3 linked regions of the Arabidopsis thaliana genome follow. The protein of the gene in region 1 purifies or fractionates together with the protein of each later gene. This does not show direct contact. Each region holds a gene or a part of one and is shown in the gene's direction. Other genes may lie near its edges.

The links.
Region 2: the proteins of AT4G29700 (region 1) and AT1G78820 fractionate together in Arabidopsis thaliana (co-fractionation; one large-scale study listed by BioGRID). This does not show direct contact.
Region 3: the proteins of AT4G29700 (region 1) and AT1G78830 fractionate together in Arabidopsis thaliana (co-fractionation; one large-scale study listed by BioGRID). This does not show direct contact.

What each region holds. Positions count from the first base shown.
Region 1 is NC_003075.7:14,543,362-14,547,119, reverse strand, and holds the start of AT4G29700 (Alkaline-phosphatase-like family protein), read left to right. Parts: upstream 1-1,809; 5' UTR 1,810-1,995; coding exon 1,996-3,381; 3' UTR 3,382-3,758. Other genes in the region: AT4G29710 (Alkaline-phosphatase-like family protein), read left to right, coding at 1-119.
Region 2 is NC_003070.9:29,634,174-29,637,931, reverse strand, and holds the start of AT1G78820 (D-mannose binding lectin protein with Apple-like carbohydrate-binding domain-containing protein), read left to right. Parts: upstream 1-2,000; 5' UTR 2,001-2,163; coding exon 2,164-3,531; 3' UTR 3,532-3,758. Other genes in the region: AT1G78830 (Curculin-like (mannose-binding) lectin family protein), read left to right, coding at 1-791.
Region 3 is NC_003070.9:29,637,077-29,640,834, reverse strand, and holds the start of AT1G78830 (Curculin-like (mannose-binding) lectin family protein), read left to right. Parts: upstream 1-2,061; 5' UTR 2,062-2,326; coding exon 2,327-3,694; 3' UTR 3,695-3,758. Other genes in the region: AT1G78840 (F-box/RNI-like/FBD-like domains-containing protein), read left to right, coding at 18-350, 383-925, 1,010-1,150, 1,243-1,545.

The sequences.
Region 1 (3,758 bases):
TGCAGATCTATAGCGTCGTTGCAGATATTCTTGGACTCCGACCAGCTCCGAACAATGGTTCTTCTTTGTTCCCTCGGAGCATTCTCTTGCCTTTCAGAGCAACAAGGGGGTTAGAATGAAGCCAAAAATCTCTTATAGCTCAAGAGAGCACTCAGACTCAGAAATAGTAAGTAGCTTGATAAATGCGAGTGAGTGACTAGCTAGTGTATGTTTTCTATAATTCTATGTGACATTATATTTTCGATCGCGTACGCATATACCTTATCATTACCTAAATTGTTCCTAAATATTACAAAATATCATATTTGTATGATGGATGTGTAGTAACTAAAAACCATTCAGTATTCAATACTCAACTAGAAAATAAAGTCCACTGGGTCATATTATCTAAAATCTTATCAAAACTCAAAGGCTAATACAATACAATCTTATTTGGGATCAATTACGAGATCAGCACAATTAAGTCTGTGCCTTTGTCTAGTTAGGTAACTTCTCATATGCTTATAAAAATAGGTACTTCTCTCTCTGTTTATGTTACGCTTTCACCCTTCTGCAATTTTTCTTCATTTTTCCAATACTTCTCTCAATGGTGATGACGGTGAACTACGTTGACAATAACGAACAATTTTTTGGTTTAGAATTAGTGATGAATTGGGGATTAATTGATTTGAATCTTTTTTAAGAGTAGAACCCTTGGGTTTCTTAGATAGTATTCTTAGGGTTTATATTTCTTCCATAACAAATCGTTTAACTTGATTGATTGGATTAATTTGAGACGACGTTTTGGTGACGGAGAAAATTGGAAACAAAAGAGATAGTGTTTTTGATGGACTTAAAAGTGATGGTGTTGACAAATATGGTGCTTATGAAGCAAGTGCGGCAGTGAGAAGGGATTGAGGATTTGAGTTGCAGAAAAAATTGTTGACAACGATGGTGTTGTTATCAACACTATAACCTCTAACAAGGGGTAAAACCGTCATATCCCCTATCAATATATGCTTATTTCCATAAGTCCATTCAAAAAATTCATTTTTTCTAATTATTGGGCTAAAATGTGTCCAATCTTACAAAAGCCCCATCTTATTTGGCTACATTCTATTATTGGCTGGTCCCCAAACACTTTTAAACCGTATAGAGTTGGCATAAGCGTATTTTACATTTATAGGGACAAGGGTCAAACACAGGCCATCCAGTCACCACGAAAGGATCGGATATATCTCAACGTGAAAACACGTGAGTTAAATCAAGACCGTAAGATCAGATATCAACGGCTCTCCCGCATCTGGATCATGCAGCTGACAATAATGTGAACGTGACTTCTACCTAACTCTTATATTGTACTTATTCAAGGAATCTATAATTATTTTTCACAAACTGCCATAACGATTTAGAAAAGTAGTCAAAATTCCAAAAGTTGGAGGATATTTTTTTTATTGTCATTTGACACAAATATATAGAGTAGTAAATGTAATCTTTCATGTCCAAATTTTATTTTTGACAAATACCTCAATATGTCCGATTTAAATTTTCTTTTGTCAACGTCCCTTTAATTTTTTTAATCAATTTTTTGTACTTCATTGTAATAATATGATCACTAATAACATTTCCATTATTTCAATAACTGATTAATTTTTGCTATGTGATATTAATGATGTAATCTAAAAATTGTTGTACTAGTGAGTAGTGATGATTTATCAATCAAAACACCAACTCAACACCCAAGCTATAATATATACAAAAAAAAAAAAAAAAATCTAAACAGACAGGCAATTAAATATCCTCCTTAATTAAAGACAAAACCCCAAATAATTCTGATTTTATATATCACTAGCTATTATGTACCAACTACCATCGATCGCCCATGCATTACATGAGCAATATGCAGCATCAAAATTTCAATAAAAGTCTAATTCTGTTATTAAAAAAGGGAGAAATTACATTCTCACGCTCTATAAATAACATGAGCTGCAAGAACCATAACAAACCTTATTTCAAATGGCTAAAACCAAAAATGTTATTTCTTTCAAACTTTCTCTCATCTTCCTTCTTAATATTTTCATCGTAGCCACCATCGCAGCCGCAGCGGCCGTTAACGCCGGTACCAAAGGTTTGGATTCTCGGCCGTCCAAAACCAGGCGTCCCTGGCCTTTCAAGAAGCTCAACAAACCGGTGGTTTTAATGATCTCTTGCGACGGTTTCCGGTTTGGTTACCAATTTAAAACGGACACACCAAACATCGACCTTCTCATATCCGGAGGAACTGAGGCCAAACACGGTTTAATCCCGGTTTTCCCCACCATGACATTCCCAAACCACTACTCTATCGCAACCGGACTCTACCCGGCTTACCACGGTATAATCATGAACAAGTTTACCGATCCGGTTACGGGAGAGGTGTTCAACAAAGGCTTACAACCAAAATGGTGGTTAGGTGAGCCGCTGTGGGTAACCGCAGTAAACCAAGGTCTCAAGGCTGTGACCTACTTTTGGCCAGGCTCTGAAGTTCTAAAAAGTTCTTGGACTTGCCCTGAAGGATATTGTCCACATTTCAATCTTTCAGTTCCTTTAGAAGAAAGGGTTGATTCGGTCTTGAGCCATTTTGATCACCTTGAGGACGAAGTTCCTGATTTACTGATGTTGTATTTCGATGAGCCAGACCAATCGGGTCATAACTATGGTCCTGATGATCCTCGGGTTACGACTGCTGTTTCTAGGGTTGATAAAATGATTGGTAGGGTGATAAAGGGGCTGAAGCAGAGGGAGATCTTTGATGAGGTTCATGTGATATTGCTTGGTGATCACGGAATGGTGACCAACTGTGAGTGTAACGAGAAAGCGATTTACATTGATGACTTAGCGGATTGGATCAAGATACCCGCGGCTTGGATCCAGGCTTACAGCCCAGTGCTAGCAATCAATCCTCAGTGGGGGAAAGATGTCGAGAATCAAAGCGAAAAGAACGCGGAAGTCGTGGCGAAGATGAACGAAGCTTTGAGCTCAGGGAAAGTAAAAAACGGAGAGTTTTTGAAAGTTTACTTGAAGGAGAAGCTACCAGAGAGACTGCATTTTTCAGAGAGTTATCGGATTCCACCGATCATAGGAATTGTCGGAGAAGGTCTAATGGTCAGACAGAACAGAACAAATGCTCAAGTTTGCTATGGAGACCATGGTTATGACAACGAGCTCTTCTCGATGAGGACTATTTTTGTCGGACATGGTTCTAGGTTTAGTAGAGGAAAAAAAGTGCCATCATTCGAGAATGTGCAGATCTATAACGTCGTTGCAGAGCTTCTTGGACTCCGACCAGCTCCGAACAATGGTTCTTCTTTGTTCCCTCGGAGCATTCTCTTGCCTTCTGGAGCAACAAGGGAAGTAAAATGAAGTAAAATCACTTAGCTCATGAATAATAAGTAAGATGATAATGAGTGACTAATCTATGTGCTCAATCTTGTGACCCTTAATGTTTTTGAATAACCAGGTTTCGTGGACTGAAGCGACGTTAATAGAACAATTCGGCATCTTTTCTTTTTTTATTCGAATGTATATATCTAAATCATTACCTAAATTGTTCCTAAAATAATTCAATTAATATCATTTTTGTAGGATGTTTAGTAGTAAGTCACATCACACACTATGCAATACTCAAAACTAATTATTTCTACTTATATATATATTGCAGTCAGTCACATGTACCTCTCAATCCATAAAAGTCCAGTTTAGTAAATATTATATTGATAGTAACGTTTATTCAACATATC
Region 2 (3,758 bases), on another chromosome or scaffold:
CAGATGGTCCGTACAGCATGGTGCTGGACAAAAAAGGTTTAACCATGTACGTTAACAAAACCGGTACGCCGTTAGTTTACGGCGGATGGCCGGATCACGATTTCCGCGGCACCGTCACTTTCGCCGTTACAAGAGAATTCGATAATTTAACGGAGCCGTCAGCTTACGAGCTTCTCTTAGAACCCGCACCACAACCCGCTACGAACCCGGGTAATAACCGCCGGTTACTCCAAGTCAGACCAATCGGAAGCGGAGGAGGAACTTTAAATCTGAACAAAATCAATTACAACGGAACGATTTCGTATCTAAGACTCGGATCTGACGGGAGTCTCAAGGCTTACTCGTATTTCCCAGCAGCTACGTATCTCAAATGGGAAGAGAGTTTCTCATTCTTCTCCACTTACTTCGTCCGTCAATGTGGCTTGCCGTCGTTTTGCGGCGATTACGGTTACTGCGATCGTGGGATGTGCAACGCGTGTCCTACACCAAAAGGATTACTCGGATGGAGTGATAAATGCGCACCACCTAAAACGACGCAGTTTTGCAGCGGAGTCAAGGGTAAAACTGTCAATTATTATAAGATAGTCGGTGTTGAGCATTTTACTGGGCCTTATGTTAATGATGGACAAGGCCCAACTTCTGTGAACGATTGCAAGGCCAAGTGCGATCGTGATTGCAAGTGTTTGGGTTACTTCTACAAAGAGAAAGACAAGAAATGTTTGCTTGCTCCTCTGCTTGGTACACTTATCAAAGATGCCAACACTTCTTCTGTTGCTTACATCAAATATTAGTGTTTTTTTGGGAAAGTTATTTACCGAATTCTTTTTGAATTCTTAGAGATTTAATGAATAATCGGTGTGCTTGTAATGATCCACCGTTGAATATATTGTATTACCTTAAAAAAAAGCCATCAGATGTATTTACTATATATATATAGTACCTTTGAGAATCAAAATACCATGTGAAGCATTATCATTATTTTGTTGCCTCTGACAAGAGTTTTGTAGTCCACTGGTCCTCCACTTGGAATACCGCTCACTTGGTTCTTAATTCAATTGACTACTGAGGTTTGTAGATGGTCGTTGGGACTCATACTGTCAAAAGAACAGCAAAAATTTTGTCACTTCTCCAACTCATTGGGCCTTTAGGCTTTGTCATAGCCCAATAATTCTATCTTAATCGGACAAACCGTGTGGTCCACTTCCCTTCGTACATATTTTTTACAAGTTTTGTGGTCTTACTTTTTACTTTTTAGCATTACATGGGATAAAAAGTGAAAGCTTGCCCAGCAGCTATGCATCCATCAACCATCAAAATCTGACTCACAGTACTGTTTTGGATGTCTGAACTTACATAAAAGATTCGATCATCACAAGATGATTATTGTGAGTTTTAATTTTTTTACTGTTAAAGCTGGCGGAGATGTTTTTATATCTGTTAGCATTATCTCGGAAATTTGTATATATATATACGACAGTCTAGTGGCGGGTCAGATAAAGGTGGAATGTGTAGTCTAGACTTTAGAATATATAAAATTACTTTATGAAGTATATTTACATACAAGACGGTAAAATCGAGAAATTTATATAGCTAGTTTGGGAAGTGTGGGTACTTAGTTATCCAAATATTCACTAATTTGAGTAGAGATCAAAATGGTGATCGGGTAGATTGCAATCTTGAAAGGATTTTTAGATATATTTTTACAGTTTAAAGTATTTAAACGAGTACATTCTATATTTAAAAACAAGTGTTTAAAGTATGAATCCGATTGGAGAATCTAAATTTTCTTTTGTCAAAAACGATGGTCAACTTTGTCTGAACAATTTTCATGAGATTAGTTATACAAAATTTGTGTAATAAAAACGGATTAACAACAATATATATAATTAGTGTTTTACTCACAACTTTTGTATATACGATAATTTTCGAAAATTCTCAGTAGACATATCTTATCCAAATCATAAATGAGCCATTGGTTGATCTGTATAACGAAGACACGATTTGCAGCTTAGGACCATTCAAAAAAAAAAAAAAAAAAAACTTAGGACTTTCAAACGAATACAGCCCAACGACCCAAAGTTAAGATCTTATATATACACCTAAAGGATATAGAAAATCATCTCACTCTACTACTCAATCTCAGTAAACATAAAGAACACAACCATGCTTAGGTTTGATTACTTACTAATCACGGCACTTGCCATTTCAACTGTTTCGGTTGTCATGGCCCAAGTCCCTCCCGAGAAACAATTCAGAGTGCTCAACGAACCCGGCTACGCCCCATACATCACCGAGTACGACGCGAGTTACCGATTCCTCAACTCACCGAATCAGAATTTCTTCACAATTCCTTTCCAGCTCATGTTTTACAATACAACTCCTAGCGCCTACGTGTTAGCTCTCCGAGTCGGAACGAGGCGTGACATGAGTTTCACGCGTTGGATCTGGGACGCCAATCGCAACAACCCCGTCGGAGACAACTCCACACTCTCATTCGGCCGAAACGGAAACCTTGTGCTCGCTGAGTTAAACGGCCAAGTCAAGTGGCAGACTAACACAGCCAACAAAGGCGTCACCGGATTCCAAATCTTGCCCAATGGAAACATGGTGCTACACGACAAACATGGAAAATTCGTTTGGCAGAGTTTCGATCATCCCACCGATACACTCCTCGTCGGCCAATCCCTAAAAGTTAACGGAGTTAACAAACTCGTTAGCCGTACATCTGATATGAACGGCTCCGATGGTCCGTACAGCATGGTGTTGGACAACAAAGGCTTAACCATGTACGTTAACAAAACCGGTACGCCGTTAGTTTACGGGGGATGGACGGATCACGACTTCCGCGGTACCGTCACGTTCGCCGTTACAAGAGAGTTCGATAATTTAACGGAGCCGTCAGCTTACGAGCTTCTCTTAGAACCCGCACCACAACCCGCTACGAACCCGGGTAATAACCGCCGGTTACTCCAAGTTAGACCAATCGGAAGCGGAGGAGGAACTTTAAACTTAAACAAAATCAACTACAATGGAACGATATCGTATCTGAGACTTGGATCCGACGGTAGCCTCAAGGCCTTCTCGTATTTCCCTGCCGCGACGTATCTCGAATGGGAAGAGACTTTCGCTTTCTTCTCCAATTACTTCGTCCGTCAATGCGGTTTGCCGACGTTTTGCGGCGATTACGGTTACTGCGATCGAGGAATGTGCGTCGGGTGCCCTACACCGAAAGGTCTGTTAGCTTGGAGTGATAAATGCGCTCCACCTAAAACGACGCAGTTTTGCAGCGGAGGCAAGGGTAAAGCTGTCAATTATTACAAGATAGTCGGTGTTGAGCATTTTACTGGGCCGTATGTTAATGATGGACAAGGCCCAACTTCTGTGAACGATTGCAAGGCTAAGTGCGATCGTGATTGCAAGTGTTTGGGTTACTTCTACAAGGAGAAGGACAAGAAATGTTTGCTTGCTCCTCTTCTTGGTACACTTATCAAAGATGCCAACACTTCTTCCGTTGCTTACATCAAATATTAGCGAGATTTATAAACCGAAACCAACGTGAATTCTCATAGATTTAATGAATAATTGGTGTTGTTATAATGCTTCACCGTTTTTGTTTTCGTAGACTCGCGTATTATGCTCAGTCCTAGTCAAGTATGATATTATCAAAATAAAAATGGATGATATTGATGTTCTTCAGATTATCAAAATTGAAATTAATAGTCGATCATTATAATGCGTCCTTTATACAATATTCAATT
Region 3 (3,758 bases), on another chromosome or scaffold:
ACAAAAGACGAAATCACATGGAAAACAAAGATTTGATTAGCCAATTATTGCCGGACCACGTACTGCATGAGATACTCCTAAAACTTGCGACGAAAGATTCTGTTAAAACCAGTATCTTGTCCACGAGATGGAGATATATTTGGCAACGTGTTCCTGGATTGGACCTTAACCAAACTAACTTCAGATACAAGGGGTTAAAGGGTTTTGTCAACAGGTTTCTAGATTTGGATAAGAAATCACTCATATACCAATTGAAGTTGGAATTTGACGGCAGGAAGTATGAGACTGAAGGATCCCTTTTCAACAAGTGGGTCGACTCAGTGGTTACCCGTGGAGTTCAGCATCTTGTGGTTGTTGCTAAAATATTTGGTTCTTGCATAAGAACAATTATTGTCCCATAAAACTTCCGGGAAGCATTTCTATGTGTGAAACATTGGTACACTTGAAGCTGGTCGAGGTAGGCATTGATAGTTTTGACTCCGTTTCTCTACCTCGTCTTGAGACTATGCATTTACTATCGGTTTGGTTTTCGAGCGAAGCGGCTCTAGAGAGGCTTATCTCATCCTCCCCAGTTCTTCAAGTTTTGTACATTGAAAAAGTTTGGAATGTGGAAGTTATACGAGTGCGGTCTCAGACACTATATAGCTTGAGAATGCGTATTTGGAAAAGAGATTTAGATTGGAACAAAGATTTAACAAAAATTGGGCTAGTGATTGATGCTCCTAGGCTTAAGTCTCTGAATCTTCAAATCCACCGGTTTAAAGACCTTGTGCTGAATAGTGTATGTTCTCCGCTCAAAGTGGATATTAGTATCTCTAAAGGAGAGTTTAATCCTATTAACTCATTGACGATGAAAACATTGCGTACATTTATTGCTTGGATATCAAATGTCACAAATCTTGCACTCAATTACTGTTGTCTAGAGGTATGTATATTTTTGTAACTATTCATCCTGAATTAATCTGTCTCGAAAACTTATTACTAATTTATTCTTCTTGGTTTTTGCTAGGCTATGTATGCTTACTCTAGCTCGGAACCATTGCCTCAGTTCTCTAACTTAACCCATTTGGAAGTTTCGATGGACTCCTCTTGTTTAAAGTTGTTACCAACGTTTCTCGCAAGCTGTCCAAACCTAAAATCTCTAGAGTTGGTAATTTTATTTTTATAAGTAACTCTTGAATTACTTAACTAAACTATACATTCTCATTACGTTTTTCGTTTCTTGTCCTTGATATTATGTAGTGGGTTCACGATCATCGTCTAGATATATTGGATATCTCAAGATCAACTATGCCTAAGTGTCTGCTAATATCGCTCAAGTTTGTTACGATATACAGCACAGCTATGATATCCAGCTCGGTTGAGAATCAGGTCGAAACCGAGCTTGTCAAATACATCCTGGGGAATGCAGCAGTTGTCAAGGAGCTTACTCTTCGATTCATTTTATGGGCAGAAGAACACAGGTTTCAACTTAGCAAGCAAATCCTTGCGTTTCCAAAGCTTTCTTCTGCTTGTCAAGTCTTTCTTCATTCGTCGTTTTTTTGAACTTGTTGTGAGGATCAAGCACAAGTGTAAACGTTATGCTTCTTAGGTGTTTTTAGTTTCCACACTTGTTCCGGTTAGACATCGTAATTTTTAAAAATTTTAAGATTTATGTGATTGGTAAATTCAAGATGCCGCAATATTATTGATATCGTAGATATCTTTGTCAGCCATTATTTGTTTGGGTTTCGTTTGGTGCACATGTAAAGAATAAGATACATGGATCTCTGCTACCCATAGATACGTGTACTTAAACTTTTAAATGAAAAAGCCAAATCTTGGCCCCTCGCAGTGGCATCTAAGAAAAATCCACAACTACATTTTTTCTTCAAAACTTAACTAAACTCACAGCTTCAAGTCTATTTTACCAAGACGGTGCTGTGATATTTTACCAATCCTCATTATCCTCTCATAGGCAGAAAATCCGGTTTCAAGTCTTCTAGAAAATGATAGTATTAAGATAAATGCATAAAAGGATTAATCATTTTCTTTCGACAAGAAAATAAATTATATGATATTCAGAAAGCAAAATAGTTATGACGAATATTCGATAATCTGCACTAGACAAACCTTATCCAAATCATAAGTCGCCATCGGCTCCATTGTACAGCACCAATTTGCTTGATCTCTTCTTCTTTAATTAGTCAAGTCGCAATTAGCAACTTTGACTTTTCAAACGAATACGGCCAATATTACAAAGCTAAACAACTTATATATACCACAACACAAGATACATCTTCTACATAATCATCTCACTCCTTTACTCACACAAGAAAACAAAATCATGTCTCGATTTGCTATCTTAGTAACCTTGGCACTTGCCATTGCCACTGTTTCGGTGGTTATAGCTCAAGTCCCTCCGGAGAAACAATTCAGAGTCGTCAACGAAGGAGAATTCGGTGAATACATCACTGAGTACGACGCAAGTTACAGATTCATCGAATCATCAAACCAGAGCTTCTTCACATCACCATTCCAGCTCTTGTTTTACAACACTACCCCTAGCGCCTACATCTTAGCTCTCCGAGTCGGACTCAGGCGTGACGAGTCTACCATGCGTTGGATATGGGACGCGAATCGCAACAACCCCGTCGGAGAAAACGCTACACTCTCACTCGGCCGTAACGGCAACCTCGTCCTCGCTGAAGCTGACGGACGAGTCAAATGGCAGACTAACACAGCTAACAAAGGCGTCACCGGATTCCAAATCTTACCCAACGGAAACATCGTCCTACACGACAAAAACGGCAAATTCGTATGGCAGAGTTTCGATCACCCCACCGATACACTCCTCACCGGCCAATCGTTAAAAGTTAACGGAGTCAACAAACTCGTTAGCCGTACATCTGATTCGAACGGCTCAGATGGTCCGTACAGCATGGTGCTGGACAAAAAAGGTTTAACCATGTACGTTAACAAAACCGGTACGCCGTTAGTTTACGGCGGATGGCCGGATCACGATTTCCGCGGCACCGTCACTTTCGCCGTTACAAGAGAATTCGATAATTTAACGGAGCCGTCAGCTTACGAGCTTCTCTTAGAACCCGCACCACAACCCGCTACGAACCCGGGTAATAACCGCCGGTTACTCCAAGTCAGACCAATCGGAAGCGGAGGAGGAACTTTAAATCTGAACAAAATCAATTACAACGGAACGATTTCGTATCTAAGACTCGGATCTGACGGGAGTCTCAAGGCTTACTCGTATTTCCCAGCAGCTACGTATCTCAAATGGGAAGAGAGTTTCTCATTCTTCTCCACTTACTTCGTCCGTCAATGTGGCTTGCCGTCGTTTTGCGGCGATTACGGTTACTGCGATCGTGGGATGTGCAACGCGTGTCCTACACCAAAAGGATTACTCGGATGGAGTGATAAATGCGCACCACCTAAAACGACGCAGTTTTGCAGCGGAGTCAAGGGTAAAACTGTCAATTATTATAAGATAGTCGGTGTTGAGCATTTTACTGGGCCTTATGTTAATGATGGACAAGGCCCAACTTCTGTGAACGATTGCAAGGCCAAGTGCGATCGTGATTGCAAGTGTTTGGGTTACTTCTACAAAGAGAAAGACAAGAAATGTTTGCTTGCTCCTCTGCTTGGTACACTTATCAAAGATGCCAACACTTCTTCTGTTGCTTACATCAAATATTAGTGTTTTTTTGGGAAAGTTATTTACCGAATTCTTTTTGAATTCTTAGAGATTTAATGAATAATCG